Linked DNA regions of Rattus norvegicus. The protein of the gene in region 3 purifies or fractionates together with the protein of the main gene of each other region. This does not show direct contact. Links are inferred from orthologs where the notes say so. Each region holds a gene or a part of one and is shown on either strand. Other genes may lie near its edges. The genes, in order: Eif3j, Zc3h4 and Csnk2a2.

Region 1 (7,342 bases), on a different chromosome or scaffold from region 3:
TTTATTATAAGAAGGATTAATTATTGAGCCATTTTTAAGGTGAACTACTGAGCATTTACTATGTGCCAAGTACTAGGAATACAGCAGCAAAGAAAATAGAGAGCTACATGTGTTGGCACACAGGTCTGCCACCCCATCTCATCTAATTGGGGAGCAGAGGCAGGAGGATGAATCTAGAGTGGAGGTCAACAATGACCTAGCTAGTTCCAGGTCTAAGACCTTGTTTCATGCCCCCTTCCCTACGTCTTAACAATGGGAAACAGGCAAGAGACACATGCTCAGATAGAAAACAGGGTCATCACAGAAGGAATGTGATGAAAGACCCAGAAAACAGATGAGCACGTGTGTCCCCCTGTTTATACGGGGACCAAACTCAGGGCCTTCTGCATGCTAGGCAAGCACTGTACCAACTGAGCTTCACGCCCAGCCTACAGAAGGGATTCCTGTAAACTGGACATCTGGCTTTACTGTGAAGGAGGAGAAGCAATTCATGTGAAGTACGGGCAGAGTACCACAGGCAGAAATATTATCGACTCTAAAGCTCCTAGAGGTAGCCTCAGCAATGAAGGGAATAAGGAGGGTGGGGAATCAGAGGGAAGGAGAGACAGCAGAGGAAGGGAAAGAAGGGGGAGAAAAAGATAATAAGGAAAGGAGACTGGCAAATGTCTGAAGGAAGTAGGACAGCCTATGCAAGGGCTTATTGACCAGGAAAAGAAGCTGAACTTTTCTTTTAGGACAGGGTCACATATAACCCAGGCCACCCTCAGACTTACTATGTAGTTTCTTTTTTGATCCTCCTGCCTCCACCTCTTGGGGTTACGGGCGTGTGCCATGCATTACTTATAAGGATTGGATTTCCGGCCTTGTGCATGGTGAGTAAGTATTCTCCAACTACATCATATCCCCAGGCCAAAAAGTTGAGGTTTTCTTAAAAATAAGAAGTCATTAAGAGAGATTTTACCAGGAAGGAAGCAATGTTATTTACTATTTATTCAGAGAGGCTGGCCTCAAACTTGGGATCTTTTGGCTTCTGCATCAAGGGTGCTGGAATACAGGGCTGAATCACCCCACAGCAGGTATAAACTGCAGTTTTAAGTATGCACACTATTTGTGTGGGGTATGGGCTGTGGAGGAAGAAATGGGAGAGGGACCACCTGTTGGAAGATTACAACGAAGATTCAGGTGGTAGTAGTTTTTCAATTTCAGCAATGGAAACAGAGCTACAAACCTTGGTAAAAAATGGAATTCAGGAGGTCAGTGAGGGCAAGAACTGAGGGACAGCGCTTAGGTCTTGATTTGGGCAGCTCAGTGAGTGTCATCATCACTTAACCTCCTCTGACCTTCGACACATTCAGTCCCTACAGTAGGGCTCTACACAGAAACAGAGAAATGGGATGCGTGTATCAAAGAGAATTTAAGGAACTTAGATCAAACAATTATCCAAAATCTTCAGGGCCAGCTAGCAGGGTAGAGATCCAAGGGACATCTGACCCTGTGGTCTGGAAGCGTAAGTCTTCCTTCCTATGGTCTTAATTCGGATTCATGGCTGGATCAACATATATTACAATGCTTTACTCAACTACTGATTGAAACGTTAATCACACCTAACATTCACAGCAACTAGACTGGTGTTTGACTAAAAAGTAGTGAACATGTATACCACAGTCTAGTCAAGCTGATACATAAAATTAACCATTCCAATCACTAAGTTCTATTGCCTTTGACCTTTAGTTTTCAGACTAGTTCCTTCCTCTCCTTTGTCTCTGGCTTAATTTGGGCTTGAATTCTTCTCACTTAATTCGTTCAAGTTGGAAATCACATAGCTCAGTGGTAATGCAAGGAATGCAGAGGCTCTTGGTTTTATCCTATTTGATTGTACTTATGTATTAGGTATTTTGCCAAATTATAAATGGATGCTTTCTATTTTTTATAGAGCGCTGCCTCTCACTTTAATGCTGTAGAACATTTCTTGAAAGATCACATTATAAAATGTTTACTTGTAGACGAAAAATACGCAAGAAACGGAAACTAGTAAGAGAATGGCTGATCTGGGTCAATAATATCTTTTCAAGACTTTAAAAATTAAACCAGATGTGGTGGCTCATGCCTTTAATCCCAGTACTTGGGAGGCACCAGCCGGTGGATTTCTGAGTTCATAGCTAGCCTGGTCTACAGAGTGAGTTCCAGGACAGCAATGCTACACAGAGAAATTTGTCTTAAAAAAAAAACTTTAAAAACTATGAATATATTGGAAAATTAAACAATATCTAAACTAGCTCGTCCCTTAACGTCCTTATAAGGAAGCCCAGTGTCAAGGGAGAAAGAATTATGCTCCTTTTAGGTTCTTTATTATCAGTTTACCTGTTCGATTGTACTCAGTCAGATGAGCACCACAAGACTTCTCTCTACTACAAATGCACCAGAGCACAAGTCACTTGGTTTCTCAAACTCCAACTTCATCAGTGCCTACCGCGGGCAGGAAACTGCAACCTCCGTCGTCGTTAATGCTACCTTTTTACATCTAACCTCATAATGCTTCTTTTTGTTGCAGCCATTGCACTGTGCCGAAATCTGTTTACATAACTATTTTGCTACTGTGTTGAGGACAAACTAGAATATATGCCTTGGCACGGAACTCCGAAATGTTTCCGCCAAAGAATCACCGTGCTAGGCTCCGGGTGACCACGGGAAGGGAAAACCCGGGAGACTTTGGGGTAGGCTTCGATCTCCGTGCCCAAATGCTAGGAGGCCTCGGGAGAACAGCCCTGCCTACTTCCTTCTCACTGAGTTTCTGCTGGCTCCCAGTCTACCAGCAATAGAAGATCTGGTCGCCAAGCCAGCACCGCCCTACTCAGGCGTGCGCACTTCCTTTTCCTTCTCGCGGGGGTGGGGGAGGTGGGGAGGCCCGGGCTGGTCCGCGTCTCCTAGCCCAGCGTCGCCCCGCCCCACCCCGCCCCGCCGCGCGCGTCGCCCGGGGGGGCGGAGCTTCGGCCAGGCGCCCAGTCAGCCACAGTCCCAGCCTGCCCCGCGCGGGCCAACGAGAGCCAGCCCAGTGACTCACCTCTGCCGCGCTAACTCTTCGCAGCTCTTCCCTTCACACACGCTCACCCCCGGATCGAGATGGCGGCGGCGGCGGCGGCGGCAGCGGGGGACTCAGACTCCTGGGGTGAGCAGAAGTTCCGGCCCGAGTGCGGGCTGTGGAGGCCCCGCTCCCACGCGTGTACTAACGCGACTCGCTCTCTTCCATAGACGCGGACACGTTCTCTATGGAGGACCCGGTTCGGAAGGTCGCGGGCGGCGGCACAGCAGGCGGGGACCGCTGGGAAGGCGAGGACGAGGACGAGGACGTGAAGGTAGGTGCGGGCCGGGGCGCCAGGCTACGCGGGTGGGCGCTGGCTGCGGGCGGGGAGACTCGGGACCCCGGGGCGCCGCCCGGGCCTGCGGGCCGTGGGTCCCGCGTGAGCGTCGGCCCAAAGGTTCCCTGGTTCCCTGGTTCCCTCAGCTGGACGGCCATGTGGGTAGCAGGCGGCAGCTTGTCCGGCCTGACTCTGCGGAGGGTGGTGGCCGCCTGGGCCCCAGCTCTTCACCGAGGGTCTGCTCTCAGGCCTGGAACCTAACTGGCGACAAGAAGTGACAGCAGCAGTCCGGTCGGCCCACGTGCTATCTTCGCAGTCCAGAACCTGTCGCCGAAACAAGCCGAGCAGATCGGGAACTCAGTTTCAGTGTTTGCCCCATATGGAAAGTCGTGAGACCCGACTTTCCTAGTTCGGGTCTCCCATGTGTCAGTAACTTAGGTATGATTGTGAAGGCCGGTAGCTTCGTTCGAGCGATTAGATGGAGAAAATAGATTGATTTTTCTAACCTAGAATTGGAGCAGTAAAACAACTTTTAGCTCTCCCTTCCCCCACCCTGTGGTAAGAAGGATGAACTGGGAGCACTGAGATAACCAGCGAGTTAGTGGACAGAACTGAACTGTGAAAAACCGAGTTAACAGGTATTCATTTACACAGGGACCGACAGGCCTAGAAAAATACCAGAGTTGGTTGTTGTGGTAAATAAACCAGGGGCCACTGGTTTTGTTTTTCTTCATCATGTAGATTCGAGTCCTATTCACCTTTATTGTTTTTAAAAACTCCTAGGGGCTCATCCTACAGCTTCAGATGTACTGTTTGGATTTTTCTTCTTCATCCTGAAGTTTGTTGTTGAAGTGTATGCCCACTTTACCAGCTGGCCTGAATTTGAGGAATGGAGAGAGCTTTGTATACACTGAAGTCAATAATGACAAGTAGCGTTAATGACTGGCCACTTGCATGCTTTGTTTCCTAGTGTATGTATACACTTGGGCATGATTTGCCACCACATCTCACAGCAGATTTTCAGGTTTGATTTTTCACTTTCCCTAGGAAGTAGAAGTTAGGACATCCTATAAAGTTAAAGAAGTTAAAATTAAGGGCTGGGAATAAATTCAAAATAAAACAGGAGTGGGGGTGGGGAACCAGAGGAAGTGGGAATAAGTTCCAGAAAGCTTAAAGTTTAAAGTTTAAAGATGTCTGTAATGATGCCGGATAGCATCTACCTGGGGTTATGGAATCTTAAGTGGTGTCGATCCTGATGTTTATAATTCTTTTTTTTTTTTTTTTTTTTTTTTCTTTTCTTTTTTTTCTGGAGCTGGGGACCAAACCCAGGGCCTTGCGCTTGCTAGGCAAGTGCTCTACACTGAGCTAAATCCCCAACCCTGATGTTTATAATTCTTAACCACGTAACAGTAATTAATAGTAATTCTGGCCCTTCCTGGTGCCATGATCTTTTAACTTGTATTTGACATGTTGTGGTGACCCCCTCCTAAGCATAAAATTATTAATTTTTGCTACTTTATAACTGATTTTGCAGCTGTTATAAGTTGAAATGTAAATATCTGATCTCTGAAAGGGTCATTGGAGACCCACAAGTCTAAGTGTAAGAGCTAATTTTTGGGAGACTTAGAAGTAAGTTACCATAAAGACCACAGTTTTTGACTCCTGGGTTTTAGAATCAGACTGGATTATGTTACCTTGGCATTTTCTAGTTACACTTTCTCAATATGTAAATAATCATAATGAGACTTGCATTACATAGTTTGTTGTTTTTTTGACTGTTTTGAGACTGGGACTGACTATGTAAACCAGGCAGTCTTTGAATCTCACCAATCTGCCTGGCTCTGCCTCAGGAGTTCTGCGACTAAAGGAGTACACCACCATCAGAATTACTTTGTCTTTTAAATGAGCATTAAGCAGGGCTACCTAGCACTTGGTAGGTATTCAGAAAATATTAGTTTTCATTGATGTCTTCCTTCTTTTATCCTAATGGAAATAGTTTGGCTGTTAAAATCTAAATATCTGAGGTTTATTTTATGTCACATTTTATCATTTCCTAAGGCCAGAAGGATTGATTTTTTTCTATAGTGTCTATTTACTATGAATTTTGTTTTTATTGGAGGATGGATCATGGTTATCAAGTTTTTGCCCATTCAGAAGTTTGTTAGAATTGAAATTTGTCACCTTGCATAGCAATGAGTTATGTTGCCAAACTTCCAAATCCTGATACTTTAGTGTTTAATCATTTTGTGGTGGTGTGCAAGGCTTAGTTTTCATGAAGTCAAAAATTGTAGTTCTTAAACAATTTAATATGTGAGTAAAAAAAAAAATAGATTGTTGGGATGGCAAGTGTAGTTCTAGCACTTTGGGGAAGTTGGAGGAGAATCAGCTGGGTCCAAGAGTTTAAGACCAACTAGGGCCATAGAGAGAGAGTTCTATGGCAAAACTGTAGAAAGTATTCTTTTATCAAGGATCACGCGCTTGACCTTTATAAGTTACCATTTTAATAATAGTGTCTGTTTTAGTTACTCGCCCTAGTTGTTCTTTTTAACCTTTTTGACTTTTCAGTAGCTGTCTTGCAGTGGCAAAAATGGACGTAACCTGTAGATCTCTTAATATTCATGGAGGACAGACTTTTTCCCAGTAAAAAGGTGAAACCTAGTCGCTAGAGAGATGACCTAAGAGCAGTCTTCTCTTCTTGAGTGCCAGAGTCAGATTCCTAGCATTTACATCATAGCCGTCTGTGGCTTTAGCTCCAGGACATCCAGTATCTCTGTCCTTGTAGATCTACTGTCATATGCATGTCCACAGATAGGCAGACATACTTCTTTTTGAGAACTAAGGCGTGTATATCTCTATTTGTATTTAGTATTTCCTTAGACTTTTTCTTACTATTCTGATATGCAGAAGTAGCGGAAGAAGTTCTTACTTTGTGTATATGACTAGAGTGATGTACAGATATAGATGCAGGATTGAGTGCCTACTGAAAGCAGGGACAATGCAACTTTAAAACCATTTTACTGGATTCCCTAAAATTTCAATTTAACAAGTTGCAAATCAGGTTTATTCAGAAGGTATACAGATTTTTAGAGGAAACTTCTGGCTGTGTTCAGCTATCTCAGGCATTTTGTTTTGTTTTTGTCTGTTTTTATGTTTAGTTATTTTAGGCAGGATATCATTTGGCCCAAGGCTGGCCTCACCATCTTTGCCAACTGAATTCTGTGACCTTGCCTACAGACATTTGAAGGCATGTACAGCTACCCTCAGTTTATGCCTCCCTGTGGATAGAACGCAGGGCAAGCCACCACCTGAACTACATCTGCAGCCCTCAGCTATGTGTCTCTATAGTTGCACTGTAGAATTTATTACACAGGTCTCCGAGGACTGACCCAGGTAAAAACTATGGAGTAAGCAGTTGTGCCTTACTCATTTACTTTAAGGATCTATCCAGATTAATATTGTAAATCTTCCAGGTTAAGGACATCTTTTTTTCACGTATTAGCGCTTCTGAGGAATAGGATCTATATTTATTTTATTTTTGTTTATTTTTTATATTTTATATGCGGGGAGGATCTCCAGTTTGGATCTTCCTGCTTCATCCTTCCAAGTTCTTTACATACATGTGTGTGTGCCACTTCAAGATCTGTATTTTAGAGAAAAATGTGGTTACATTTTCAGGTAACAATTTTGCCAGAAAATAGGCAATTGTTTGTTTTGTTTTCTTTAAAAGAGTGTATCATGTAGCTCAGGATAGTGTTTAATTCACTGTGTACTAAGGGTGGTTTTAAACTGTTTCTTGGCTTCCCAAGTGCTATGCTATGTGCTCTGTGCCTGGTTTCTGCATTTCCAATGTTGGAACTCAGGATGGTTTGACACTCTACCAAGTGAACTCCCCAGTCCTGCCCTTTTTTTGGGAAGTAGGAGGAGCAGTCTGGTTGTATACACTAGGCTGGACTTGAACACTCAAGCTTCTCCTGCCTCAGCCTTCT
Region 2 (7,242 bases), on a different chromosome or scaffold from region 3:
GTCTGATTAAAGGACGCCCCCTGCTGGAGGTTCAGTGTTCACACTTAAAAGCAGGAGCCCAGTCCTGCCCCTGGATCAGTCTAGTTTTTCTTGTAGCTTTGTTTTATTTTTTGAAGTTTGGTTGGGGTTTTGTTTTGTTTTGTTTGTTTAGTTTTGTTTTAAGACATGGTCTCTATGTAGCCCTGGCTGTCCTAGAGCTCCCCATGTAGATCAGGATGAGTGCTGAGATTAAAGGTGTGTGCCACCATATCTCCCGTTATTTTAAGTTTGCAGTAGCCCCACCCCCTTTCTTTTTGTTTTGTTTTGACAATTTTGCTTTGTGGCCCATGCTGGCCTCTTCATACCTACTCTTCTCAGTGCTCAACTTACGGGGTTTCTCTGTCCTAGAACTGCTCTGTAGACCAGGCTGGTCTCTGCCTCCTAAATTCTGGGATCAAAGATGTATGCCACCATGCTAGGGTGACTCACTCTGCCTTCCTTTCTTTCTTTTCTTTTCTTTTCTTTCCTTTTCTTTCCTTTTCTTCTTTTTTTCAGAGCTGGGGATCGAACCCAGGGCTTTGCGCTTGCTAGGCAAACGCTCTACCACTGAGCTAAATCCCCAACCCCTCCTTTTCTTTTTTTAAGGAAAAAATGTTTTGAAATTATTTTATTGGGGTTGGGGATTTAGCTTAGTGGTAGAGCACTTGCCTAGCAATCGCAAGGCCCTGAGTTCAGTCCCCAGCTCCAAAAAAAAAAAAAGAAATTATTTTATTTTAGAAACAGAAAGGAGAAAAAGAGAGAAAACCACGAAATATTCGGGCATTTTTACTTCCTGAATTTCTCTTCTTTTTTTTTTTTTTTTTTTTTTTCTTTTTCTTTTTCTTTTTTTTCTGGAGCTGGAAACTGAACCCAGGGCTCTACCACTGAGCTAAATCCCCACCCCCACTTCCTGAATTTCTCACACCCTCATTTGCTCACTAGTTCCCACAATGAGAAAGTTCCCAGCCACCCACAATTATGTCATTAATAGGGACATGCATCACACATGGCTCACAAAGAAGCTTTCCAGGATCAAAGATCCTGTTGCTGTTACCTTGGCAACAGTCTCCTGGAAGCCTGTCTGTCGGCTTTAGTGCATCTTCTACCAGCACAGTTACGTTCTTCACAAACTGCTGACTCGGCTAATTGGCATGACCTGATCCATGATTGTTACCTGGATGGCTATTTGAGAAGGTACAGATGCTTCGGTACCGAGTTTATGCTGAAGTGCAAAAAGAAAACATTTTATAAGTCTGTGAAGATAGCTCTCACCCCAGGGGAAGGTGCCTGGTCTCTCCCTTGCATGGCAGAGCTTCAGCTTCTCTGAGGTGGACTGGCTGTTTTTGTTTGAAACAGTCTTGTGTAGTCCAGGTTGGCCTTGAAATCACTACAATCTACAGTCATTATTAAACCCATGATCCTCCTGACTTCAGCTCCCAAGTTCTGAGATTACAAGCATACACACCACCAAGTTCTGCCCAGCAGATCTGTGGGTATTGACCAACATGTAGATTTATCTCTGCTCTGTACAATCTAGACATAACACACACACACACACACACACACACACACACACACACACACACACACACACACACTTTATCCCAATACTTGGAATCCCTGTATGATTTGTATCCCTATAGTTTGCTTTTGCAGGGTATCATAGGGATGGGGAGCAGGTGGGAGAGCCTATACCTCTCATTCACAAGGCCCTGAGTTTGATCCCCATCATCACTGGAGAAAACAAGTGTCTTCTAGGTAGAACTGTAGAATAAAGTAGGCTAGAGGTGTGTGTCTGCCTTGTGCATGCCATAGGGCACTTTTGATCTGCTTATAGCAACTGTAGTTCAATGCAGTTGCCTGCCAGGTTGAACTCCTCAGCTGATAAAGTTAGCTTTGTTGATCCAGTCATTGGTTAAAATACATTTGTATATTTCTTTTTTTTTTTTTTTTGGTTCTTTTTTTTTTTTTTTTTTTTTTTTTTTTTCGGAGCTGGGGACCGAACCCAGGGCCTTGCGCTTCCTAGGTAAGCGCTCTACCACTGAGCTAAATCCCCAGCCCCCATTTGTATATTTCTTGTTTGGGCAAAAGCTTAAAGTTTGTGACAGCTACCTTATTTGTGCATGCAAGTTTGAGTCACTTTTTTTTCTTTAGACAAGTTTTCTCATCACATGGTGGCTCACAACCATCTGTAATGGTATCTGTTGCCCTCTTCTGGTGTGTCTGAAGACAAGTTTTCTCTGTAGCCCTGGCTGTTCTAGAATTCAGTCTGTAGACTAGGCTGACCTTATGTCCATAGATACTATCCTGCCTGTCCCTCCAGAGTACTGGGATCAAAGGCGTGTGCTGCCGTAACTGGTGACGATGATCATTTTTACATAGGCGATAGACCTTTGGATTCTGGCATCCGCTGTAATAAAAGGTTTGGTGACACAGCTCAGTCCTAGCAGACATGTTCAACAAGAGCCTAGTAGCAGTGGTCCTTGCTAGTAGAGAGGCCATGTATGGAAAGGCTGCAAGGGAGTATAATGACGGATATTTGTCTGCTCCCTCCATTTGTGCGGAAATTGCTGGTGCGTAGTCTATGTTCTATCCTCTGGTCATGTCCTTGTGTGTCTGCCTTGTTCATGTCACTGGGCTCAGATGAGAAGACCAGGCTCCTCCTTAAGCTGTAGGGTCTGGGTTGTAAAAGGCTTCACACATAGGGAAGACAGAAGCCCAGCTGTAGAGCTTTCCATGTTAGAAGACATCCCTAAGGGTGCTGAGGTGGGTGCCAGCAAGACTGCTTTCATCCAGTTTGTTACTAGCAGTACCTGCTAGTGTTGAACCCCAGGCTTGTCTTTTTTTTTTTTTTTAAGATTTTATTTTATTGTATGAGTACACTGTAGCTGCCCCCAGACACACCAGAAGAGGGCATCAGATCTCATCACAGATGGTTGTGAGCCACCATGTGGTTGCTGGGACCCGAACTCAGGACCTCAGGAAGAGCAGTTGGCGCTCCCAACCACTGAGCCATCCCTCCAGCCCCCCAGGCTTGTCTTCTTTGGTAGCTGTCTCAAATTATTAAGGAAATTGACTAGGTTTTCACACTTGATCATTGGTAGAGAGAAGTGCACTGTGATTTGAAACCTTGCTGGAAAAATCTGTCTCAGGTCATTAGAGGCCTAGGAGGGAGGCTACCTTCAAACTTGATCTTCCTGCTTCCTCATCCCTAACGCTAAGATTGCAATCGTGTAGCACTATGCCCAGTTTGATGAAGCAGATGAATTTAGGTCCTAGACCCTGTGCTCTAAAGGCCCCCAGCAGGTGTGTGTTTTAAGTTTTTCCTCAGAAAATTGAGTCTGACTTAGTAGAGTCTTCTGATGTGACTTCCTCTGCTTCCCACAGATGTTGGCTGATGATGCAGAAGCAGGTGCTGAGGATGAGAAGGAGGTGGAAGAGTTGAAGAAGCAGGGCATCAACCCCTTGCCTAAGCCACCTCCTGGTGTGGGGCTCCTGCCTACTCCTCCACGGCCCCCTGGACCCCCAGCCCCCACCTCTCCTAACGGCAGGCCCATGCAAGGTGGCCCTCCTCCTCCACCACCACCCCCTCCCCCACCTCCTGGGCCTCCTCAAATGGCCATGCCAGCACATGAACCGCTGTCCCCACAGCAGCTACAGCAGGACATGTACAACAAGAAGATCCCCTCTTTGTTTGAGATTGTGGTGCGACCCACAGGGCAGCTAGCTGAGAAACTGGGCGTGAGGTGAGTATATTGCTTGCCCTTAGAAGCACAGGCGCATGGCCTGGCAGGGCTCTGTCCTTCTGAAGCTGTCATTCCCCATTTGGGCTCCTGGCCCCAGGCTCTAAGTGAGCACTGCTGGCTGGGTGCTGCTGCCTTTCCTTAGCAGCTTCATCACAAGAACCATTTCCTCTTCTAGGTTCCCTGGACCTGGTGGACCCTCAGGGCCAATGGGTCCTGGCCCCAACATGGGACCCCCAGGGCCAATGGGGGGGCCCATGCATCCTGACATGCACCCAGACATGCACCCTGATATGCACCCCGACATGCACCCCGACATGCACCCCGATATGCACCCCGACATGCACCCTGACATGCATCCTGACATGCCAATGGGTCCTGGCATGAACCCTGGCCCTCCCATGGGTCCTGGTGGCCCCCCAATGATGCCCTATGGTCCTGGAGACTCCCCACACTCTGGAATGATGGCTCCTATCCCGCCAGCCCAGAACTTCTATGAGAACTTCTACCCGCAGCAAGAGGGCATGGAAATGGAGCCGGGTCTTGTTGGGGATGCAGGTATGTAGGCAACAGCTAGACTGCAGAGCTGGGCTCACCAGGGTGGGATGGAGGTCAGAAGTGACTTTTCTTCCTTGGCCAGTCTTACAGCAGCATTCCAGTTCCATTCCCAGTCTATAGGTGTTTTAAATATTAGGGGGCCCTTGACCTTATGGGGGCTGGAGGACTCTTGTGTTTGTTGTCAGTGTAGGAAACAGTACTCATAGGGCCTAGCATCAATCGTGAGCAAGGCAAAAATGCCTTAGGAGGCTGTGCTTGTGTGCCTGGCACCATCAGGAGGAAGGCAGGGCCCCTCTTCCAGGTAGTGCTGGGCTCACTAACTCTGCCTGTCTGAAACCATTGACTGGACAGGTTCTTGCCTGTGTCCTGTGATGTTAGCAACCTCGGTGTCCAGCATAGTCAAGGATAGATGCTGTGGGAGATTCAAGGAGGAGGAGGGACCTGCCCCAGGCCAAAGCTCAGAGTCGTGGTCTCTGTCCTTGCTATAGTTGCATTTTAGTAGAGCAAACCAGAGAGAAGTCGGATGGCTCATTTTAGCTTTAGCCATTGTTAGAAAATAGCATAGGACTGTACAGAGCCACAGCCCTAGCAGGGACAGTCATCTGAAGCATCTCTGAGAATGTAACCAGGTGCCATAGCTGACCAGCTTATCTGAGGACAGCAGAGATAGAGATGGCTATGCATCTATAAAGGAGTGAGAGAGCGACATCTTAACATATGCAGGTGTGTGTGTCACTGTGGTATCGCCCGCTCTACCGAGCAGTAGAGGGCAGCAGGACATGCACTTGTGGCTCCCAGTGCTTGGGAGGATACAGTGAGACTGCCAATCAGCCAGAACAGTGGTGGGAGTTTCCGGGTTCCCGTGCAGTTGCTGACAGCAGGTGCATCCAGGTGGAGACCAGGAGGTAGCCAAGGATACAGAGATGAGTCACGGGGTTTGGGACTGGCACGTTGGAGCCAATGTGACCTGTATGTATGTGCTGTGTAGGGCTGGAAGGAGCAGCTAGGAGGATGGGCGCCAAGTATAGGCAGGCCTTCACCGACATTCAGGCTGTTCTGTTGGATGTGAGGATCACTGCTGCCTCAAAGCACAAGGAGCCTGGGAGGTGCGGGGGTGCGGGGATAAAGCATCCACAATGCATGGTAAAGAGTGGGTTTGAAGAGATGCTAGAAAAGGCAGACCAACAAATGGAGGGAGATGCTGTTGACTGGCCTGAGTTAGTTGCTTGTTGATGATAGGTGTCTCTACAGCGAAAGTGAGCTCTAATGTGAGTTCCAGGAACTACTCTTTACAGCACAGAGCTGCTGTGGTTTCTGTACATTTACTTGGCCTTCTGGCGATTGATGTTCTATGGAGGTGAAGCCTCTGCCTGTGTCCCAGCTCCCGAGGAGCTGTAGCATAGAAGAGGTCCCATTAGGCTCTAACCAAAACTCAGGCCACCTTCACTCACTGTGAGGTCTTACAGTTTTGCAGTTTGTGGTATATATGGGGGGTGGTGAGGTGGTGGTGCACATAGCAGTATGCAAGTGTGCGTAGACCGAGTTGACCTGTTTGTGTATTATCACTGTACATCTAAGGCAGAACTCATTTGAACCTAAGTGATTGCCATTTCAGCTAGTACAGCTCTCTAGGCACCGGGACACCCGCCTACTCACCAAGTACTGACTGCTGGGCCATTGCCAGGCTTGCCTTGCTTCAGGTTGTAGTGGCGATCCAGTTGTGTGACAGTAGGCTACTGAGCCATCTTCCTGGGCCCCAGTTTCTCTATTTAAATACCAGACTACCTCCTTTGGTGGCATGAACCACATCTCTGATGCTCGGTATCTTGTCCTAGCTGGATAAAAGTCATGTCACATGTGCAAGGGACAGTTGACTCTTGACAGACCTGGGCATGCTAGCTCAGCACCCTACGATCCAGGGACTCAGTGAGACAGTGGTGTTGTATCTGCTATACGTAGTGGACCTGGTCGTTGAGGGAGGAGAGACTTGCTCTGGCCGTGCAAGGGAAGCTGCCTCATGCAGTCAGTGACTCCAGGGACGCTGAGAGGAAGGGTTGGGGGGATGCCGTGAGCTGGACTGAGATTTTAGTGTGTTTCGTTCTCTCCTGGGAGATGCAGTGACTTTCTTACAGGTATATCTAACCTCCAGGGTAGGCACTGCATGCAGCTGAGAGAAGCTAGGAATGCAGCACAACACAAAATCTTAAACTTAATTAAGCATTATGACTATGCTGGGCATCATGGCTCACGCCTTCAATCCCAGCACTCGGTAGGCAGAGGCAGGTGGATCCTTGTGAGTTCAAAGCCAACCTGGTCTGTTTAGAGAGTTCCAGGCCATCCAGGGCTGCGTAGTGAGCTCTTTCCTCAAAAACAAACAAAATTAGGACCTTTGTTTTTGTGTGTATGAGATTATTTCTTTGATTACATGCTTTCTCGAGCATGAACTTGGTAGATGACAGTATCACATTACAGTGTCAAACACTTAGACGTACCTGCAAGAAGCCATGAGACCACTCATGGCAGATGATAAACCAAGCCTGCTTCCTGTGAGGACAGCAGCAGCTACCTAGCCTGAGAGGGGTATGGCCTGTCCACAGACATCCTGCCTGAGGTGTATGCACACAGTGTGCTGACATCCATAGCCTGAGGTGTATGCACACAGTGTGCTGACATCCATAAGCATCTATCATGCCTTCCCTGAGCCTCATCCTTTCCCTGCCAGCTGGCCCACTATGGGCTCCTGCTGGACTCTCAAGGCACCCATGCCTGGGGAGGAGGAAGGGACGGGTGGCCATCCTCATCCTCACACTTGCCACCAGTCTTGGCTTTTCCAACGGAGGCCTTCCCGACACAAACCCTCTTCCCTGCCACAGAGGACTACGGGCACTACGAAGAGTTGCCGGGGCAGCCTGGGGAGCCCCTC
Region 3 (7,342 bases):
GACAGCCATTTATATGTTTATAATGTAAAATAAAGCTGCTAACAGGAGCCTTATGTGAGAATTTCTAAGTCACTGCAGCACTGGTTCAAAACACTTTGGTTGTTTTTAAAAAAAAAAAAAAAATAGTATTGCTCTTGACAAGTACTCAAGAAACAGCAGTTTAATTGAAAGCTCTTGAGGACCCCAGGAAGAGCTGCCATCCATGCACACAAGCCGTGCTCACTGATGCTTTAATCTTACTTTGGGCACACCTTTCTAAGTACTAGAGAGGAACAAAAGAATCAACTGCTTTTGACACTAAAGTAGCCTTCTACCTTGTTGCATCAATAAATTCTTTAAAAAAATCATTTCCTTTTCTCATTAACACAATTTTTTTGGACACCCCCCAAAAGAATAAAAGGCATGACTTCTCTATTCATTAGAAAGTTTTTAAGATTTAACCTCAGACCTCCACACATAATTCACTTTTTCACAGACACATTAAAGAAGTAAGAGTATTACCTTATTAAAAAAAAAAAAAATCACAAAACTTTCACTAGCAGCTTTTTAAATTTATAAAGCCCTCTAATAGGCTCAAACATACCTCGACGAATCAAATACTTAGAGATCTTACATGCAAGATAAATGAAATAAAAGCCCTCCATGATCACTATGCATCCAATTGTGGCAGAATGACAAAAACTGTTATGAAGTGTCACTAAAGTCTGTGCCCTGTGTCTCAGTCACCAAGTGCACACTCGTCCCCCCTGCAGGTTAACTACTACAGGCTTGTAAGAGAAGCAAACCTTTCCCAGACTGCCCCAAACTGAGCAGCTAGCACTGCAAAGGGCTTAACTTCCTCTAACAAAACATCACAATAGTAGGCATTAGTCCTAACTTGAACTTATTTGAGTAATAAGCATAACTTTTGGATAAAGTCTCTGTTCTTTTTGAAAAATAATACTTCAAATCCATTATAAGAACAAAACCACAATATTAATTAGGGGTTTCTTACTCTATCCTTCAAATATAAATAAAATCTATACAGAAATGCCACAGGACTTTGACAAAGGAGTAGAAGGGTTCGGACTGCCCTCTGAGAACCAAACACCTCATGATCTACAGCATAAAAAGGGTTTCCCAAACCTCATGATTGAACCCTGAAACTTACTGTGTTCAGTGCTAAGATCCTGCAGCCCAGTGCTGAAATGAACACTCAGAGGTATGAAGAAATCGGAAAGAAGAGTTTTGGCGAAGGGCCATTTCAAACAGCACCATGGCAGGTACGTCTCTCTGTACCTAGGCTATTTGTAAAAATAATTTAAAGCAGCTTCCATACTGGATGTGGTAAAATATATGCAGAGACTCTTCAGAGCAGAGGAAAAACTATCAAGCAACCAACCTCTGAATCTTTACGAGAACAATCAAAAACTAGTAATAACTATGCTTCTCTAAACACTGGGACTCATAAACACCTGAGCACTGTTCCCTTCAAAACACACCTCAGGAAGCTGCACTTAGTCTATTGCACAGACATTGAGACATTTCCCTTAAATTGCTTTAGACGTGGCAAATTCAATCCTCCAAATGTACAACGGAACATGGATGTTCCTGACAATGCTTGTTTTGCTTATTCCTTAAAGGGAAAACATCTGAAGTAACTTCTATTCAAAATGCATTTATGTAAGTAATGAAATTGTATGGCTTCCTCCAGCAATGTTTCCCTGAAGGAAACATTTCTCTGCTTAAAACACACCCATCCGTAACTACACACCTCCTATGTACAAGTCATACTTAGTGGGCCAAGCTCCCTGCCTTCCACATCATTCCTTCCTCCTCGTACCAGTGCCTTGGGCAGCAGTGGCAGCATCACCGGCCTCAGCAGCAGTGCTGCTCCTTGTCACTAGGCTAGGATGGTAAGGAACGTTAGCAGCAGCTATTTTTTTTTTGAAAGATGATTTACACGATGCTAAAATCTACACTACAATTAAATGAGGACTGCCCTGAGGCATGAGCTTTTCAATCCATTTTGTTCAGGGAACCTCCACTGGGCACTGTGAAAATCAGGTGAAGTACTACCACTCTCCAGCGGTCTTTCTTTCACGAGTGACACACATACATGTTAAGTGATCTGACAACGTGAAGAACTGCTCAGATCCTAAGGGGACATGCATATGCATTAAATGACCTGACAACCATGAAGAACCGCTCAGGTCCTAAGGATCACTTTCTTGTACAACCTACAAAGCACTAATTAATCTCCAATCACCTGTACAGAAACTTGGCTGACTCTTCATGCTCATTAAGATCATGTCTTCATTTGAGTGATAACAAAAGCCCTATCATTATCAAAGTGAGAGGGCTAGTCTTGCCACTGAGACAGTTTTGTTCCGGTTACTATTTCAGGGGCTAAAATGTACTCTTCTGTTGCCCCGAATCTCTTTTAGTGATGGCTTGCTATATCCAGCCCACCTGAAACTTTACTTCTAAATGAAACAAAACTATCAACTGGGGGGAGTTGCCCTGCATTTTTGGCTTTAAACTTATCTCTGAGAAGACCCCAGTTATGTTTTGTTTGGACAACTTTCTTTCTGGAGTAACTGGGAGCAGAGAGTAACTAGTACATTTTAGGAGCCCTACACGGACATGATACATGCAAATGCTTTTCTTTCTTGCAAACATCTCTTTGTTTCATATCAGATACAACCCCTCTCACATATTTGTTTGAGAAGTTCAGAATTTACACCTTAAGTGTTCCTGACCTATCAAAGTCAGCGTTAAGACCAGCCTGCACATTTTCTCAAAAGCTCACAGGAAAAATGGGGTAGGAGTGCTGCAGAAGATACACAAGAGCTGGAGCCGCTTATTCTGGAATAGCTGGTCCTTTGGCCCTGTGGGGGTAAAAGGTTACATGCCGCTGTAGTACACTCACCTTGAGAATTTTTACAACCACCCTCTCATTGTTGGTGATGTTAATGGCCTCAAATACTTCACTATACTTGCCCCGACCAAGTTTTCGAACCAGTTGGTAATCATCTTGATTACTGTGAAAGGCAAGAGATATTGTACATAAATGCCAGGATTTGGGATTAAGCAAGCGTATGTCCACTATACATCCATCCACCAAGTCCAGCTAATCAAAGTATTCCTGACATCACACCTCGACTCATTCTCTAAATGAAAGCCACACAGAAGCTTGGCTCCCGTCATTCTGCAGAGCTCTTAACCTCACTGACTCTAAGCACAGGGAGAAAAGGCAGCTATGAGGCCTTATGAGCCCTGTTAAGTGGACTGAGCAAGGTATCCCCCTGGTAGTACTGGGGTGCCCGCCTGCCCGGGGCTCCACAGCACCTGCCTCCCATTTTACACCCTCTAGGGGGGCCATGTTCAAAATGTTCCTCCCTCCCAGCCTCATTTCAGAAAGTAAAAAGGTAGAGATTTTAACAGCTCAAGAGGACAGACATGGACTTCCCATCCCATAGGAAGCCCAAAGTGTGAGGAGGAAGGGCCGCCCCCACCCTGACCCTACGCTTCTCCCCACCGGCTGCTGAGCCGGGGACCGGGGACCGAGGCCGGGCGGACAGGAGAGGCCGGGGACACGTGCGGCCGGGGTCGGGCCTCCCTGCCAGCCCCGAGGCCGAGCGGCCGGCAAGGTGCGGTTCGCGCGGGGGGCGGCCGGCGGCGGCTTTACCCCCAGCTCGGGACGTGGGCTTCGTAGTCCCAGTACTCGCGGCTCCTCAGGCTGTTCACCTCGGCGTAGACCCGGGCCCGACTGCCCGCGGCCGGGCCGGGCATGGCGGGCGGGACCGGGGGGCGCCGCGGGGCGCCGAGGGCGGCGGCGGCGCGGCGCGGAGCGCGGGGCGGCAGGCGCGGGAAGCGGCGGGCCGCGGACCGCCCGAGCAGGAGGAGGAGCGCGGCGGCGGCGGGCGTCCGCGCCAGGCCGGGCCCGCGGGGGCGGGCGGACGGACGGACGCTCGGGCCGGGGGCGCGGGAGGCGCCGGCCAAGCCGGCCCGGGGCCTTCGGCAGCCGGCGGGACGGCGGGGTTCGTGCTCCGCGGCGGCCTCCGCTCGGCTCGCGGCCCCCAGAGGCGGTGGTGGCGGCAGCGGCAGCGGCAGCGGCAGCCACCGGCCGGGAGAGGGGCAGCGGCGGCGGCGGCGGCGAAGAGGGAGGAGGAGGAGGCGGAGGAAACCCGGAAAAGGGGCCGAGCTCGCCAGGAGCGGCCACCGCCCAGCCCCAGCCCGCCCCTGCCCACAGCGCCCCCTACAGTGCCGGGGGACTGTGGCCGGCGCCCGCCCCCTCAGCGATCTCGCCACCCGCCAAGCAGAGTGGTAGTCTGCCTGCCCACCCGCAGGTCACCCCTTAGGAGCCCTTGCCCTCGACTAGCGCCGCTTTTAGCATCGCCCCTCAGTCCAGTCACCTCGTGTCAACCACCAAGACCTCCTATACTGGCCCTGAGCTGATTTGCTTTAAACCCAAGAATCCTCACCTCAAACTGTCTCCCTTCCTCACTCCTCTTTCCCCCTCTAGACTCCACCCTGCTATCCACAGATTTCCCCGCCTTCAACCCCAAGAGGCAGAGAACTTCCATGCAGAACCAGTCTACTACTAGATCTACCCTATCCTCTCAGTTCCCCGTCCAATTCCCCTGGTAGCCCACTGAGTCATCTTTTAGGCTACTTGGTTAAACTAGAGTCCGCTGGGTAGTTTCCCCATAAAATTATTGGTTTTTTTTCCCTTTGTATTGAACCAGTCGTTTGTGGGACATAATTTAAGACTGTAAATATGCATTTTTGTTTATTTGTTTGAGAGGAGGGAGAACTGGGGAGTGAGGAGTTCGGCCTCGAAGGAGAGACTAAGGGTTGGTGAACATACAAGCTTTGAACAGTCTTTGATTTCCTGGGGTCCCTGACTATCTTGTTCTCCTGTCCATATTTTTTTTTTCACACCAGAAGAGGGCATTGGATCCCAATACAGATGGTTGTGAGCCACCATGTGGTTGCTGGGAGTTGAACTCAGGACCTCTGGAAGAGCTGTCAGTGCTCTTAACCTCTGAGCCATCTCTCCAGCCCCCTCCTGTCCATTTCTTTATCAACAAGGATCTCCTCTCCCAACCCAGGTTGTTCTGACTTCTAATTACCCCCACCACTGTTTTCTAGATGAGACCATGTTCCCTCTTTATATACCTAACTATCCGGGTTCAAGTCCCAGTTCCGTAGCTTACAAGTGATGCTGATTTGAGCCAATGACCCAACGTCTCTGTGCTTCAAATTTTGTAGCATCAACCCAGCACCTATGTCACAGAGCTATGCAGAGACTTAAACCATGTAAAGTGGGAGTGCTCAATATTAAAACACTACATGTTCATGCTGCTATTAAACGCTATCACCTTTCTTTCCCTGAGAGCATCACATGTCCATCTTCAGTTCCTTCTTCTCTCTGAGCTTGGCCAGGGGGTACCTCTGCCACCCCACAAATGACTGGCTTTTTTTTTCAACTCCTTAAAGGCCACTTTCTCTGAAGTTGATACTTCTCTCAATGACTCATCCACTTGACATGAGTTCTCTCCTGGTTTACCATCTGTCCCCTTCCTGTGAAAACAATTTGAAGGCATGGCTTGGGCTGGGTGGTCACCACCAGGTCACTCAGTGCCTGCTGTAGCTGGAGGCCTTCAATCAACATGGTGCTACTGCCCCACAGATATCATGCTGGTTACAAAGGGGACCCTGAAGGTCAGATGCAGGGACGAACTGACCTGTGTGATTCATGGAGAAAGGACACACCACTTACACCTGCCAAAAAAGTTCTACCTGCATCCAACCAGACACAGCCAAACTGAGGGGTGGTTCAGCAAAACATCCAGTCCACACTGCTAAAAAAAAAAAAAAATAACAGTGCCACACCAAAAAGAAATCTTGAGGTGCTGCTCTTGATGAAAGGGAACTGAGAGCCACCCCTGAGACTGCACACTACAATCCTATCTGAGTAGTAGATTGTGGGTTCAAAGCCAGCCTGAGCTACGTAGTAAAATCTTGTTTTGTTTACTTTTTTATGGGGAGAATGCAGTCAGGTGTGGGGGCATTTTGGTAACCCTGGTACGTGGGAGGTCAGGACAGGCAGATTGGCATGAGTTTGATGCCAGTGTGTCTGGACTGTGGAGTGAGACTTGTCCAAAATAAAATAAAATAAAAACCATACACATTTTATTGCTCGGAACTCTGGAAAGCCATGCACACTATTTCTACTGCTCTTATCATTCAAAATCAACAAAGAATGAATATCTTAAAATAAGTCATGGGTCAAGCCCGGTGGAGTAGTGCATGACTGTTATCCTAGCTGTCGGGAGGCTAAGGTAGGAGCATAGCTTAGGTTCTGTGATGTGTTTCAGGCCAGTGTGGGTTATGTAGACCCTATTTCAAAAACAAAAGACAAAAAAAAAAAAACAAAACAAAAGCGGGAACTCTTTCTGTGTGTGTGTGTGTGTGTGTGTGTGTGTGTGTGTGTATGTGTGTGTGTGTGTGTGTGTGTGTGTATGTGACAGAGGGATAAGAATACAGCTAATAGGACACTCACTGGGGTAACTTTAATATGGGGTCTATATTATATAATACCAATGCTTTAATGTTAACTTGAAGCACATGAGCTTTATATTGGGGTCAAACAAGAATTTGGTTTTTAAGAATTTCAAGTGTTGAAGGATGAATTGTTTTAGTTTCTGCAGTGTATTCTCAAGCAATTCTGTAGAAAAACCAACAAATAATAAAAACCTGTGGGTTCCCAAGGACACAACCATCCATGGAAAGAAGGAGCCACTGGTTGACAGTGAAGTAAGCCAAATATCTGTGCGTGCTGACTCTAGCCCTGTAATGCCAGAACCCTGGAGGCGCAAAGGTAGGAGAACCAAGAGTTTGAAGCCCGCCTGGGTTTCATAGCAAGACCTCGTCATAAAACAAAAAGCCCACAAGTTTGCAACTTTGCACAAACTCAAACACCTTCAAAAACAAGAACTGTGGGCTGGAAAGAGAGAGAGTGCAGGGGTTAACTGACTGTGGATAATAGTGATGGTAGTTTCTGTATCCTACATAGTTGAACCGTGAGTGCCCAGGTTCAATTCCCAGCACTGAAATGCTGGCAGCTCATAACTATCTCTAATGCCAGTTCTAGGGACACACGCAGTCAAAACACCAGCGCACATAAAATAAAAAGTTAAATTTAAAAAAACCCCTGAAAACAAAGCATTTGGGGAACAAATGGACTTTGACCTTGATTTCCAGCATGCCCTCCCAACTTGGCCTCTTATTTAACACGTTCTTAAGATCTTAATGCTGCTCTAAGATTTATTCTCCCTCAAAATTTTCTGTTAAC

What was found.
Region 1: the proteins of Csnk2a2 (region 3) and Eif3j purify together in Homo sapiens (affinity purification with mass spectrometry; 5 studies listed by BioGRID and IntAct, counting the BioPlex papers as one, with this or other methods). This does not show direct contact. The link is inferred for Rattus norvegicus from reciprocal best matches to the Homo sapiens genes CSNK2A2 and EIF3J.
Region 2: the proteins of Csnk2a2 (region 3) and Zc3h4 purify together in Homo sapiens (affinity purification with mass spectrometry; 3 studies listed by BioGRID and IntAct, with this or other methods). This does not show direct contact. The link is inferred for Rattus norvegicus from reciprocal best matches to the Homo sapiens genes CSNK2A2 and ZC3H4.

What each region holds. Positions count from the first base shown.
Region 1 is NC_086021.1:129,435,691-129,443,032, forward strand, and holds the start of Eif3j (eukaryotic translation initiation factor 3 subunit J), read left to right. Parts: upstream 1-3,024; 5' UTR 3,025-3,120; coding exon 3,121-3,166; intron 3,167-3,249; coding exon 3,250-3,353; intron 3,354-7,342. UniProt on the Homo sapiens protein: Component of the eukaryotic translation initiation factor 3 (eIF-3) complex, which is required for several steps in the initiation of protein synthesis.
Region 2 is NC_086019.1:86,259,935-86,267,176, forward strand, and holds part of Zc3h4 (zinc finger CCCH-type containing 4), read left to right. Parts: intron 1-3,405; coding exon 3,406-3,764; intron 3,765-3,939; coding exon 3,940-4,319; intron 4,320-7,192; coding exon 7,193-7,242. UniProt on the Homo sapiens protein: RNA-binding protein that suppresses transcription of long non-coding RNAs (lncRNAs). LncRNAs are defined as transcripts more than 200 nucleotides that are not translated into protein.
Region 3 is NC_086037.1:9,559,148-9,566,489, reverse strand, and holds the start of Csnk2a2 (casein kinase II subunit alpha'), read right to left. Parts: upstream 4,151-7,342; 5' UTR 3,775-4,150; coding exon 3,671-3,774; intron 3,664-3,670; exon of another isoform or gene 3,521-3,663; intron 3,024-3,520; coding exon 2,912-3,023; intron 1-2,911.